2 linked regions of the Neodiprion lecontei genome follow. The protein of the gene in region 2 purifies or fractionates together with the protein of the main gene of each other region. This does not show direct contact. Links are inferred from orthologs where the notes say so. Each region holds a gene or a part of one and is shown on either strand. Other genes may lie near its edges.

Region 1 (8,003 bases), about 7.7 Mb from region 2:
ATCTACAGCCGAAAATTCTTGAAAATATTCACTACTGCATGATGAGATTTACAACTTGGTCGTTCGAATAACAGTTCTATGGTTATTTATCGAATAGGTATTTACAGCCTCTGTAAACTGGTTGATATACCCACGTATTGCTTCTATAATACCTGGCGGACATGATATTTGTGGTTTTCAGAATTTTTTACGATATCTGTAACTAATCGCCTTGCCACTAATTCGAAATAATTACTGCAGAAAAAAGAAAACCACCTAGCACACGAGAAAACAATAAAACGTACAGGTTCGTTTTGACGTTAACCAATCAGAATTTTACAAGAAAACCGATTACTATTATTTTGAAAATTCATCAATCAATTTGGTTTCTTGCCATTTCTTTCAGATTGGATTGTAACGGAATTTTAATTTTACTCGTCATGTGATATACAAATTCGGTAGGCCAATCCATTTCTATTCCATTTTACATGCAAATTGAAATTTACCTCAAATGAAGATGATTACGAAGATTAGTGCTTTTATAATTTTCTATTGGTTGCTTTCTTTTTTCAAACCTCGTCAATCCATGAAGAAAGATTCCAAACATTTGCACAGGTCGATTCAGATTGATTTCCTCATTACGCAATACGTTTTTTTTTAAATTTCAAATTGGCAGACATCAATATGAATCTGTTTTAATACGTTTCAATATTTTTTAATTTATTGGATAATCGCTTGTAGAAACTTCGGAACTGATATTTTTATTCTCTATAATAACGTATGTTATGTTGAACTATCTATCCAACTTTGATTACAACCGCCATCAATTCGGATTTTTTTTAACTGCTCGTGAAGTAGTCAAAGATTGCCAATGATTTCTGAATGAACGGAATCAACTGATGAAGAGTTATAAGAAAAAATAATGAAAAAAATAAACCGCAATGTAGGCATTCCATAGATCCTCGATCCTACATATCCAATTCTGCAATTGAATATGACTGTATAATTTTTAATTCTTAGAGTTGTTCATGTTAAATAAATGAGACATTACATTTATATGGTCAAAACATTTATATAGCCGTTTTATACATATGTAAAAATAATGCAAATTTCTGAATCTTTTAGCTGTAAGTATGATCAAACTTTTTTAAATTTTCTACTGCGCTACCCAGGCAAGATCAAGCGTAGCATTATTTGAAACTTGTACAGTTCATCGTAACATCAAGTAACCATATTATGACTACGGGCAAGCAATTGTGACGATGGCGTTTTATCGAACATAATTGTCTTAAAATTTAAATTCAATTACGAAAAACGTAAAAATACCAATTGAGGCAGCACCAACTGCGATCAGCATATGCAGACGCGAGCCGGCATCACATGTTTACAGGTAAGTGTATAACCAGATAAATAATGTTCTAGGAAATGATATACAATCATATACACAGGTTACCAGATGGAAATTCAGTTGTAATTCATTACAGAACGTGTTAAATATTTTCGCGGAAGCAGTTTCGTAGTCCAATTCCATATCGTGTCAAAATTGATTTCAAATTCTCCCGCGACAGGTAGTCATAATAGTATCTAAACGACACACCCCATCGAACCGTTGCAGAGTTGAAGCTCCGCCAATAGCTGACAGACCAAAATGAAAAGTAGTTTCATTAATTTTCATAGACTCTGATCATAAGTTGACGGATATCGGTACTTCCCTCGATTTAATTACAATAATTAAGGGCAAAAGAAATGATCGTGACACTTACTGCAAAGTTTCGCCACAAGAGTATACTTTGAATCCGATTGGCGGGCCGAAATAAAAATGCTTTACGATTGGCCAGAGCGAGACAGCCTAGTCGATCCAAACCGAATCTCGGCGAGCGATGCCGAGCGGAAGAATTTAAACGTGACGTCACCCGATCATCACTATTTGTCGGCCATTTTGTGAGTGTGTGGTTGATTGAGATATTTGTGTTGAAATAATACCGGAGCGAAATCGAATGGATTTAGTTTATTGATAAGATAGTTTCCCGTTGCGTTACATGTGCTAAGTGTCAACCGGGTATTGAACATTGCTTAGATCCAAACGATGGAGGAGAAGGCAGTGACGTCTCTGAAAGAGCTTGACCAATGGATCGAACAGTTGAACGAGTGCAAACAACTGACAGAAAGTCAAGTTAAAACTTTGTGCGAAAAGGTGAGCTGGCCGGAGATTTTTCACCCCAAGTTCCTTCATTTCCCCGTTGACTTTCCTAACTTCTTTCCTCCCTGCCGACAATCTGCATCTCTATCCACGCCTATCGCGCCTCGACATCGCCTCCCGGCTAAAAAACCTTATCCAGCATTTTATTCGGTACACAACCCTCGCTTCTCCAAACATTTCACACCAAATCCTTTCTATCACCGATCGTCCCACGTCTTCTTAGGCGTATACGATTGGCCGATATGTCATCGAAAATTGATAGTCACTCACCTTGAATTACGGCTAACGACCAACGTCCCCCGTTCGCCGAGCTCGAATACACGGCGGATAAAATTATCCAACGATTAACCACGCCGCCGTTTGTTTTACACGGAATCGGATTAACTTCCACACCGCGAATTTTTTCCTCTTACTCGCTGCTCATTTTCCCTGTAAACCACATGTTATATTCCGCACACTGTAATAACGAGTAATTTTGTTTTAAACGATTTTATTATTTCTCTATGTATATTTTATGTACTGACGATTTTTTATTACACTTTTTATCATTTGTTTGTCGAATAACACATCGAACTACGTCATTCTGCGATGTCGCGATAAATTTTAAACAAATAGTAATGAATTCAACTTCGTTTCACGCTTCCAATAGTTTAACTTATTTTTAGCATTAGTAGATTAGCAGTAGAGGATTACATATTCGGTATTTCGTACGTCGGGCAATATTTTCTCTGGAATAGCAGATCTACGAAGAACATTCCTGCAATACAATTTCATCAACGCCTGTTACTAATATTTTATTCTACACAATCTTTCAAAGGTCGGTATCTGTGAAACCCTTCTGCTCACAGCTGACAACAGTCAAAATAAATGCGAATACTTTGACGTTTTAATACCCACGCTGTGCTCAGAAGATATTTGATACCTTGGATACGATTATTTTAGGTCAAATCCATAGTACGCTCCACTGTGATCATTTAAATACCGATTGGGCCGTTTTGAATAATATTATTACGTACTTGAGGACGAAAGACTTTATAGCAAATAAAATAAGAATTATTTGTATTATTCCTTTTCCAAATTCATGGGATACTTACTGTGTTACAACATTCAGATATTCCACTGTTTCTTATTGTCTAACTGCGGAAAAATTCCGATATTTTTCAACCCTAATAGTCATTAGTTAATTTTGTACTCGTAAACACTCAGGGACAGTAGATTATTAGTTCGAAAGTCTAAATAATCAAAGAATTCTTATTAGACAAGAATGATAGAAATCATTTGTAATCGTTACCTGTTGAAAATGGTCTTATGTAATTAATAATCCTCATTCTAGAGTCCTTATAAATTTCAGGAAAATCTTTGAACTTTCAGAAACAAATCTTATTGAATACCTTGTTTCATAATTAAGTAACATGTTTTTCGAATCAAGTTCAAGGTTTATTAGAACTATTTTATAGTATTAAGGTTCGTAGAACAAACAGCATTCAACAGAGTTAATGCTGAAAAATATTACATCATGACCCTAAAATTTAAAAAGAATTTAATGCCAATGAAGGTCAATTCAGATTTGTTCACATTTTTTTATCATGCCAGCGAACTTTTCAGCTAGCTCCGACAAGTTTTATAAAATTTCAATGTTCTTGCTAGAAGTTTCAAAAATATCTCTACTTTTTTTATTAAAAATATTTATTTAATTCACTATATTTCAGACAAATCTAAAGCTGTGACATGATGATTTTTCCAGGAAAATGGATCATGACCTGAACGTTACAAACTTTCACCTTATCATTCTTTGTACATTAAAAATTGATCTTGTGAAATGAAGAATCTTTTCCTGCAAACACGAAATAAGTAAACAAGTTGTATGGCCTTGCTGAACCACTTTGATAACTTCGAATTCTGTAGTGATAGGTATTTAACAGATTATCAAATGTCCAGAATGCAGTGTTGAGATAATTTGAAGAAGTGACTCAACTATTATGACAGAAAGAAATTTTTCTCATCGCTCAACTCTTTAGTTATAACTCGGTTCAATTCCAGAACCGGATTTAACGTATGTTTTACGATCATCCAAAACAAGTTTTACTTGGAATTCAGTGGACTGGTATATAATATGTCATAAACTTTGAGAATTAGAGAAAATATCCAGATCTAATCATGTTGATATTAGTTTCTAAAGATATTACATTTTCGTGACGATGATTGTTGTATAAACATAACCAAACAACAGTTCGTTAAAACAGTAAAATGATAAGTTCCTGAGCTTTGGTTGGTCATAAAAACGCCTCTCTTTGTTAGATAAAATTTGAATTTTTCATTAAAAGAAAACTACGACATGGGTAAAACTGTGTGATTTCCCACTTTTTGCAATTAATAATTGTTGACCTTTTTAATAATTCCACCAAATATTGTGTAGAAATATGTTTCGAATTTTGAAAGTATAGTTTCACATCAAACCTTACTTGTTTGAGGGTTTATTTGGCTGAAGATTATTAAACTCGATCGGTAATGTGAGCTGCTTCGCAAGTTGTTCTATACTGTTTATGCTTTTTATAGCAGCACTGTAAGCATAAGCGTAAGCTACAAAAACAAACTTGTTGGAACTTTGGAATTTAAAACATTTTTATGTTAATGATCAGCTAGTGATAGATCGGCATCTTGTAATAATGTCAACTTGGCCATAGTTGCAGTATTTCTACAATGCCTGCAGTTTTTTATTATCGCAGGAGTATTTGTTTTTAAACTCTAGAAAAAAAATCAGTCAGAAATTTTATATGTACTATTCGAAGTGAACATTGATAGACTCCACATAATAAGGGGGAAAATTGAAAACTTCCACTTGCCTGTTGTATTTTCAAACTTGGAGCAGTTTTGTACATATTTTTTTTTCTCTTGCAAATTCAAAATCTATCATCCAGAGTTTACGTTATATTATTAAAACATACTCGAGTCATGACATAATGAAGCGTGTTTATAATAATGACTATGCAAGCATGTAAACATTGGAGAATAATTTGAGTCTGTTTTTTAATTTTCAGGCAAAAGAAATATTGGCCAAGGAGTCGAATGTTCAGGAGGTAAAATGTCCTGTGACGGTATGCGGAGATGTTCACGGACAGTTTCACGACCTGATGGAGCTGTTCCGAATAGGTGGCAAATCACCTGATACAAATTATCTCTTCATGGGGGATTACGTCGATCGTGGATATTATTCTGTTGAGACCGTTACTCTCCTTGTTGCGCTCAAGGTACGAGATCACCAGACATTCATTAGACGAGTTTGAGAAATATATTCATAATAATGAATGGTGGAGTGCAGTTTCGATCATAAAACTATATGATAAAGAAAGAAAACATAGTAAAACAAACAACACTCAGTATTTCCATGATGAGCACTTTGATCCAAGCAGTGTGAATTTAAGGTGAAATTGTTAAACAGTAACGAATCACTTCAACAATTTATTTGAGAAGATATTTTCTGTTTGCGCTTAGTTGTAATTAGCAATAAGCCTTGGTAAAAAATGCAGAAAAGAGTATTTTGATACTTCAATATTAAAAAGTAACCAGATTTTTTTTTTTGAGATTTATACACTAGTAATCTTTCTTAAGACTAAAGAAGTGAAAATCTGGTAACATCAAGGTAACATCAAAGTTTAAAAACTGTTCGATTAATCTTTGTGATTATAATTGTTATTGTGTTGTGATTATGGTAAAAAGCAAAGTAATAATTCCAAGATTGTGTAAACCATTTAACAGGTGAGGTATCGAGAAAGAATAACGATTTTGCGTGGTAATCACGAGTCTAGACAGATTACACAGGTTTACGGATTTTATGACGAGTGTCTGCGCAAGTATGGAAATGCGAATGTATGGAAATTCTTTACCGATCTGTTTGACTATCTGCCACTCACCGCATTGGTCGATGGTCAGATATTCTGTCTTCATGGAGGGTTATCACCTTCCATCGATACTCTCGATCACATCAGAGCATTGGATCGTCTTCAAGAAGTTCCGCATGAGGTTTGTACTGATATACTGTTCCATTTGGAGCCTTTTTATAATAACAACAGTATCAAATTCTGGTAATAAAAAATGGAAAAAAAATCATGATTTCCAGGGTCCAATGTGCGATCTACTCTGGTCAGACCCCGATGACAGAGGAGGATGGGGTATCTCGCCTCGTGGAGCAGGATACACCTTTGGCCAAGACATTTCTGAGACGTTCAATCACTCTAATGGTCTAACTCTTGTATCGCGAGCTCATCAGCTGGTAATGGAAGGATATAATTGGTGAGTTTCCTTTTGTAGCTAACAATAAGTTCTGTCTCCACATTAACCACATTAGCAATTCGACAAATTATACATGGAATAATAAATTGAGAGCAGTTCATCGGTTGGGAAACTTTCAATAAAAAAATTCATTCTTAAATAATAACTGAACTGTATGAATATACATCACATATTTTTCCAGGGTTCGTATGCACAGGGAAAACCGAAAAAACTCGGGGAATTTCTTACAGCAGGGAAAAGTCAGGGAGTTTTCAAAATATCACTGGAATTTTGAGTCTGTCGAAGAAATGAACTTGTTGTTATACAAAGTAGTATCGTACTTAAGAAAAAGAAAGTTGCACTCAAAATTTTTTTTCTTGCATCACTATACATTGTACATACCTCCTTACTTAGTACCAAACTATCTTTCGTTTGCTTGTTATGAAAACTCGCCGGCTGTTGTGTGTAAATTGATAGAGTTATTAGATAAACATAGTTACTAGGTAATATTGAAGGTATTAGTTTGAATGTAAAAAAAAATTGTCAGCAATCGGCGGCATATTTTTTGAAGGTTGCTGGAAAATTTCGATTTTCAGGCTGGAATACCTGTAAAAGTCAGGGGATTTCAATTTCCAAAAAATATACGAACCCTGCTTTAGTTGATAAGATGTTTCTCTGATTGTTGAATATCACTTTTGTTATTTCTACTAACCAATTTGTGATTATTTAATAATCTATAAAATTTTTCTTCCAGGTGTCACGATCGTAATGTTGTGACTATTTTTTCGGCGCCCAACTATTGCTATCGCTGCGGAAATCAAGCGGCGATTATGGAACTGGATGATGCATTGAAATATTCATTGTGAGTATAAGAGTTATGTAAAGTAACACTGCTGTAAAAGAATTTATTTCTAGAATGAAAATATTATCACTTTTTTTACGATTGCCATACTAGTTAGAAGATTCTAAAAAAAATTGAATTGGCTTGTATACAAGGTTTACCAGCATTTCAATAACAAAAAGAAACTTTCTCATTGAAAGTTATGGAAAAATCTGGAGAATTTATTTTGCAGTTGGGGTCGATAGCTTCGAGAGTAAACTCTTGACATATTGGAAATGCAAAAAGAATATGTAATAAAATATAAATTTCTTTGTTACAGCCTTCAGTTTGATCCAGCACCGAGACGCGGTGAGCCGCACGTTACTAGGCGGACGCCAGACTACTTCCTCTAAAGAAATTATAAAAAAAGAAAAAAACAGCCAAACACAAAAAGGAATGGAAAAGATAGAGCAGGAAATAATTCACGACAAACTGGAGGTAGTTGTTAAGGTAGGAGAACAGAATGGATTTGGCTTTATAAATATGCCAAGAACCCTAACATAACTTTATAATAGGAAGATCGGTGTGACTGTAGGGCTTTTGGAGCAAACCTTACATGCCATGTATAATGTCGCGTATTACCTATGTTACAGTCTTTTCAAAGTATCTCACACTTACGAAATGCGAGCTGAAAAGAAAAAAAAGAATGAATAAAAAGAAAAATAAGTAAATAAC
Region 2 (5,004 bases):
TTTTTATTTATTCGTTTATTTTCATTTCCCGATATTTGCCCCACGTACGTTGCGCTTATGCCCTTTTAACGTTTTTGTGTACTACGGGAAAATTATTATCGGCAAATACGTATACACGTAGGTTATTTATACAATCTTTGAGATTGCGATTGCCTATGCACAGGCGAATCATGGACAAATTAGCCTATACGTAGGCAATTTGTACGATTCACGCGATCGCAGTTGCCTGCGCACAGGTGGCTTTCGCCTTCCCATTCTACGGTGTATGTAAGCGTGGGCGAAAAACTGTCGGTAATGTGGTAAATTATTGTACAATATTGACAAAATTTATACACGTTGTCGTTGATTTTTGTCACAGGCACGATATAAGCGGAGAATAGTGCCGACCGGAAAGGGGAAAATTCCTCCCACGGAGGGACGGAGAGATCCGATTGTTTCAAGACGCGTCACGCGGGCGTTGTCGGCCTTTGGGGGGCCCCGCCGCAGCGGCCCCCCAGCACAGGGCCGAATACGAATTGTCGGAGCGGAGCCTTGATCGGTAGATCGAAGACCGCACCGGTCACAGCGATACCGCCTTCGTCCAAACACAACATGAAGAACCCTTCGGGAATTATGAGACAGTCGAGCCTCACGAAGCTTGGCTCGATGATTAACACGGCTGTGAATAAAAGGAGTGGTAAGTAAGCCATCGTGCGTAATTTTTTCGATACCTTCTATTCGCTCTTTTTTTCTTTTCCTCCGTCGATAACGATTATACCGCGGTACGCAACGTCAACTTCGGTTGTCTACTGCTTAGGCGTTGTCACGAGATCATTTATTATTATCACTTGCGCTCTCGGTTACGCGTTTTATTACGTGAGGCGAGTACGATCCGTGATAATTAATACGTATACATAGATTAAATTTACCGGCAGATAATGCTTGGATAAGTATCGTCAATTCGGCGTGCGTAGTCGAATTATTGTTAGTTAAAATATGGGATGCCAGATCGGCATCATGTAACGTAAGTTGCCTACGAGCAGGCGAGGCACTGCGTCACGCATCAATTATACCTATGAAACGTAACCGCGAATACATAATACTTATAATTACATGCTCGTTTCGTTTGTCATATAACGCACGCGTGCGTGCGTGTGTTTTTTTTTTTTTTTTTTATGAACTTACGTTTGTGCGGATCAAAAGCTTAAGACTTTTCGAGTCGAGTTTTTGTGGATGCGCAACAGGGGTCCCCTAATTATGGGCAATTCAGGATACAAGTCCACTCTGTGAGCAGATCCGAGTTTCGCATCAGCCACGTGCTAAAAACTGAACAGCAGAGTTGCTCAGAGTCGATCTCATGGTGCGCATTCACGAAAACGCACGATATACGAATACGTCGGAGACCTTGTATGGATATCCTGTTAGCACGATTGCACCTAGTGACCACTGTGTGTTTACATTTTGTCCCGGTTTTAACACGTTTCAAATGAAATATCGAACGTATATAACGTATTGCGTGCACGAGCGCGTGCATATGTGTGTATGTACGCACGCATCTGTATAGATACTATAATTCAATCGTAGGTATAAAAAAAAATTAAAGATAATTTTCAAGTAGACCGCGAAGAGGCGGAAATACTTTGGAATATCGCGTAGCAAACTTTACTCGGTCCGCAATTTCTCCACTCGTCGGAGTAAATTCTTAGTGTCACTTACATCATGTAATCACACGTATAGTACATATTTCTCAGTTGGTATAAGAATGAAGATTGAGTCGCCCTCTCGAAAGCGAAAAATTGTTGTTATCGTCACTATTGTGTTGATATTGTCATGTTCAATTTGCCTGAAAGTTCAGGACTTATGTATACACATACGTTGTCTGTCCTGGCGGCGTGTATTACTGCTATTATCATGTATATGTATGTGTATAATATGTCGGAAACCATAGCCTTTGAGACTCTCGTAAGGTCAAATCGCGTGCGCTGACTCTGATCGCGGTTTCAGAACGTGTTCTCGGTGGTAAAGATGAACACTAGAGGCCGTTTAAGATCCGTTTCAGTAGATCATTCTAATTGTTGTGACAACGTAAGTGCGGGAGCTTCGTTCAACCGTGGACCACCAATTAAAAATCCAAAGATTTCACATGACACCGAGAGAAATTTTCGTGAGTAGTTGTAACTATTATAACAGTGTACGAATCAGGATGCTTGTCTTTTTTTTCTCTCCCTCCCTACTACTTTTACATTCTTAACACGAAGGCGTTCGATTTGGAAGGGTTTCAAATTTTTCTCATTAAATTTGTTCGAAAGTTTATAAATTATCGTGTTCGACGACACCTTATCGGTATAACATAAATGATCTCCTATGTGATTTCGTATTTCGTTTTCTAACTACTCGTCTATACGCCAACTGGGAATAGCTTGGTTCGAGGCATAGGTAGGTAGGTATACATATAAGGTAAATAAATAACATGGAACATGGTTCGACGCTAAGTCGCGCCAAGTCTTGTTGTTAGAGCTTTGATAATTAGCTGATATTTGCTAATTTCTTCGGTAACGTAAGCGCCTCTACCGATCCGCAACTCGAGACAGATCGTGCCTGGGTTACCAGTCGGTCCCTGGACCAGATCCATAATTTCACGAACATCAGTCGAAAACTGCCCGTAAAAGAAAAATCATATACCGTAAATTATAAACTAGAAACTTGTCGAATGAATATAGAAGAAATTTAATAATGATATTAATAATTGTTATTTGACGTGGGTGGTAACGATCTCAACTAGTGATATATTATATGTAGTACATAGACAAATGTAGGAGGTAAAAGTGTTCGAAACGCATTCGTATTTTTATTGTACTCGAACAGTTTCGACGAATGGAATTGTCATCCCCTTGAAAATTGGTTATATTTATACACGCAGGACAATACACGATAAATAAGATATTTATGTGTTGTATATGATGCATCTGCCAATGTTCGTAGCACGTGTTAAAAGACAATTTTTCATAAAAGTGCTAAATTATCACAATGTAAAGTGAAAGTTTTTCACATTCAAAAAAGTTCTGCTGACGCGTGAAAAACTTGTAAACAAATTAGAAAAGAGAAAATTGGTTTTCTTGGAATAATTCAGCGATAATAAACGTATCATACTGTTATTCACACATAAAAGTCATGGAAAGTTTTCCGCACGGTCTGAAAGCTCCGCTAACAAGAAATGGTCCGTTATTTTCATCCCTGGAGGAGTTACACGAAAAATTGACACAGTTGTTAGGTTTGTCACTTATATACCTACAGTTTTCTTCGTATAACTGATTCATCAACTGCTTCTTTTGCATCATTACTATAGTTATTATTATTGTGTATTCAGAAATGTTGCGTGACAAAACGATCGGTGAGAATACAGGAATATAAATCAAAGATGTCAGGTCTAAGAATTATTTTATTTCTGGTAAATATTAGCATTGTACAGTTAGCTGTGAGCAGTGCAGTCGAAACAAGGAAATTATGACCTGTAATTAATGGTTTATAAGGTTCGTCTATAACGAATCGAGTTCCATTTTACTGAACAACATGTTATCATAATTTAAGGTTGTTCGGACATTAGAGCAATGTAACGATAAAAAACTGAATTAATATGTTATTAATTGGTAGTAAATACTTATAAAATAATTTTCTGAAAAAGATCTGACGTGTAGTTTTTGTGTAATTAATTATTAAAAATTAGATATTTACCATGAAGTTAATATGGAATCTTGTTTAAAATGCACATTATTGATACAATTTGACCACAACTGCTAAATATAACAATACAATAAATTGTAATTTATATTAATCTCCTCTCGTTGATTGCGCAAAAAATATACAAAACGTATACTGGCGTGGATTTTGGTAAATATTTTAATCTAAATAATCGAAAATTCACGACAATATCAGTCATACTTGAATGACATATCTGAATCGTAAAACTGTGGTAACGTTGGATAAAAAAACGTGCCAATTTTTAAATTCAATCATTCAATCATGTGTTTTGTACCATTTTATAAATTTTTACCATTACAAATCGTCCGTTGCGTCGAAATTAAGTTGTTTCATTATTCATTCACACTAGCAACAATAATGTATAGCAGTTAGATGCACTGTTGCCGGATTTATTTTATACGGAAAAATATCGAGTCAAAAGACATTTATTTAACATGTATATTTAAGTTATTAACTTACATGTTCCAATTTTTTATTTAATAGAAAAAAAATCTACATTTTATTATGACTTACGAGATACTGTCCCAACAACCTTAAATTATAGCTTTCGAACCATTCGTTTGATAATATTGTTAGTTTCGTCAGGTCGGACAGGTTGCATTCATGGCGAAGTTGACGGAAGAATTTCAAAACTTTTACCCCTGGAAGCATCTTTTTATCTATTAAACTACTTTCTTGGTAAAAACTACAGAGTTTTTTGGATCCACATCGTCCCTGAAATATTTTTAGGTCTAATAAAGATATAAAATTCATTTATTTATGCATTGGAGAAATCGAAGGTGTAAGGAAGCGAATGAAATTTGTATTTTTTTCACGAAAAACAGCATTTTTTGCTAATCCATCATGAGAATTCGATTGCCAATTTTAGTCCAAACTTAATATACGTAAAGAAAAAAATGTCGTATGTTTGCCCGCCACCTTAGATCTGGCATATTGAATTTTCGAATTTCAAGTTCATATTCGTAATCAGCGACCCCAAAAGCACATGTGTGCAAAATTTCGAGTGAATCGAATGTAAGGAAAAATGTAGGCATGAAAGGGTTAACAGTCTTCGGTAAACGGTGGCGATAACGCGCATTCGGTTCGAAAAGCGCGGGCTGACGGAACCTCGTGAAAGTTCGTGAAAGTTCGCGTGAAAAAAGTGAGGATGAGAAGATGGCGCGAGTGGTCGAAGAACACTGTGGTTTGGCCCGTGGCAGCAACAGCAACAGCAGCAGCAGCGGCGGCGGCCGAGGAACGAATAGAACGAAGGAACGAATCAAAGGT

What was found. Proteins that work in one complex are often made in the same cells at the same time.
Region 1: the proteins of serine/threonine-protein phosphatase 2A 55 kDa regulatory subunit B beta isoform (region 2) and serine/threonine-protein phosphatase 2A catalytic subunit beta isoform purify together in Caenorhabditis elegans (affinity purification with western blotting; 3 studies listed by BioGRID, with this or other methods). This does not show direct contact. The link is inferred for Neodiprion lecontei from reciprocal best matches to the Caenorhabditis elegans genes sur-6 and let-92.

The regions. Positions count from the first base shown.
Region 1 is NC_060262.1:7,959,872-7,967,874, forward strand, and holds serine/threonine-protein phosphatase 2A catalytic subunit beta isoform, read left to right. Parts: upstream 1-1,897; 5' UTR 1,898-2,065; coding exon 2,066-2,173; intron 2,174-5,217; coding exon 5,218-5,427; intron 5,428-5,935; coding exon 5,936-6,199; intron 6,200-6,296; coding exon 6,297-6,469; intron 6,470-7,202; coding exon 7,203-7,310; intron 7,311-7,608; coding exon 7,609-7,681; 3' UTR 7,682-7,722; downstream 7,723-8,003.
Region 2 is NC_060262.1:307,313-312,316, reverse strand, and holds the start of serine/threonine-protein phosphatase 2A 55 kDa regulatory subunit B beta isoform, read left to right. Parts: upstream 1-1,946; 5' UTR 1,947-2,004; coding exon 2,005-2,143; intron 2,144-2,560; exon of another isoform or gene 2,561-3,150; coding exon of another isoform or gene 3,151-3,250; intron 3,251-4,944; exon of another isoform or gene 4,945-5,004. UniProt on the Caenorhabditis elegans protein: Probable regulatory subunit of serine/threonine phosphatase let-92.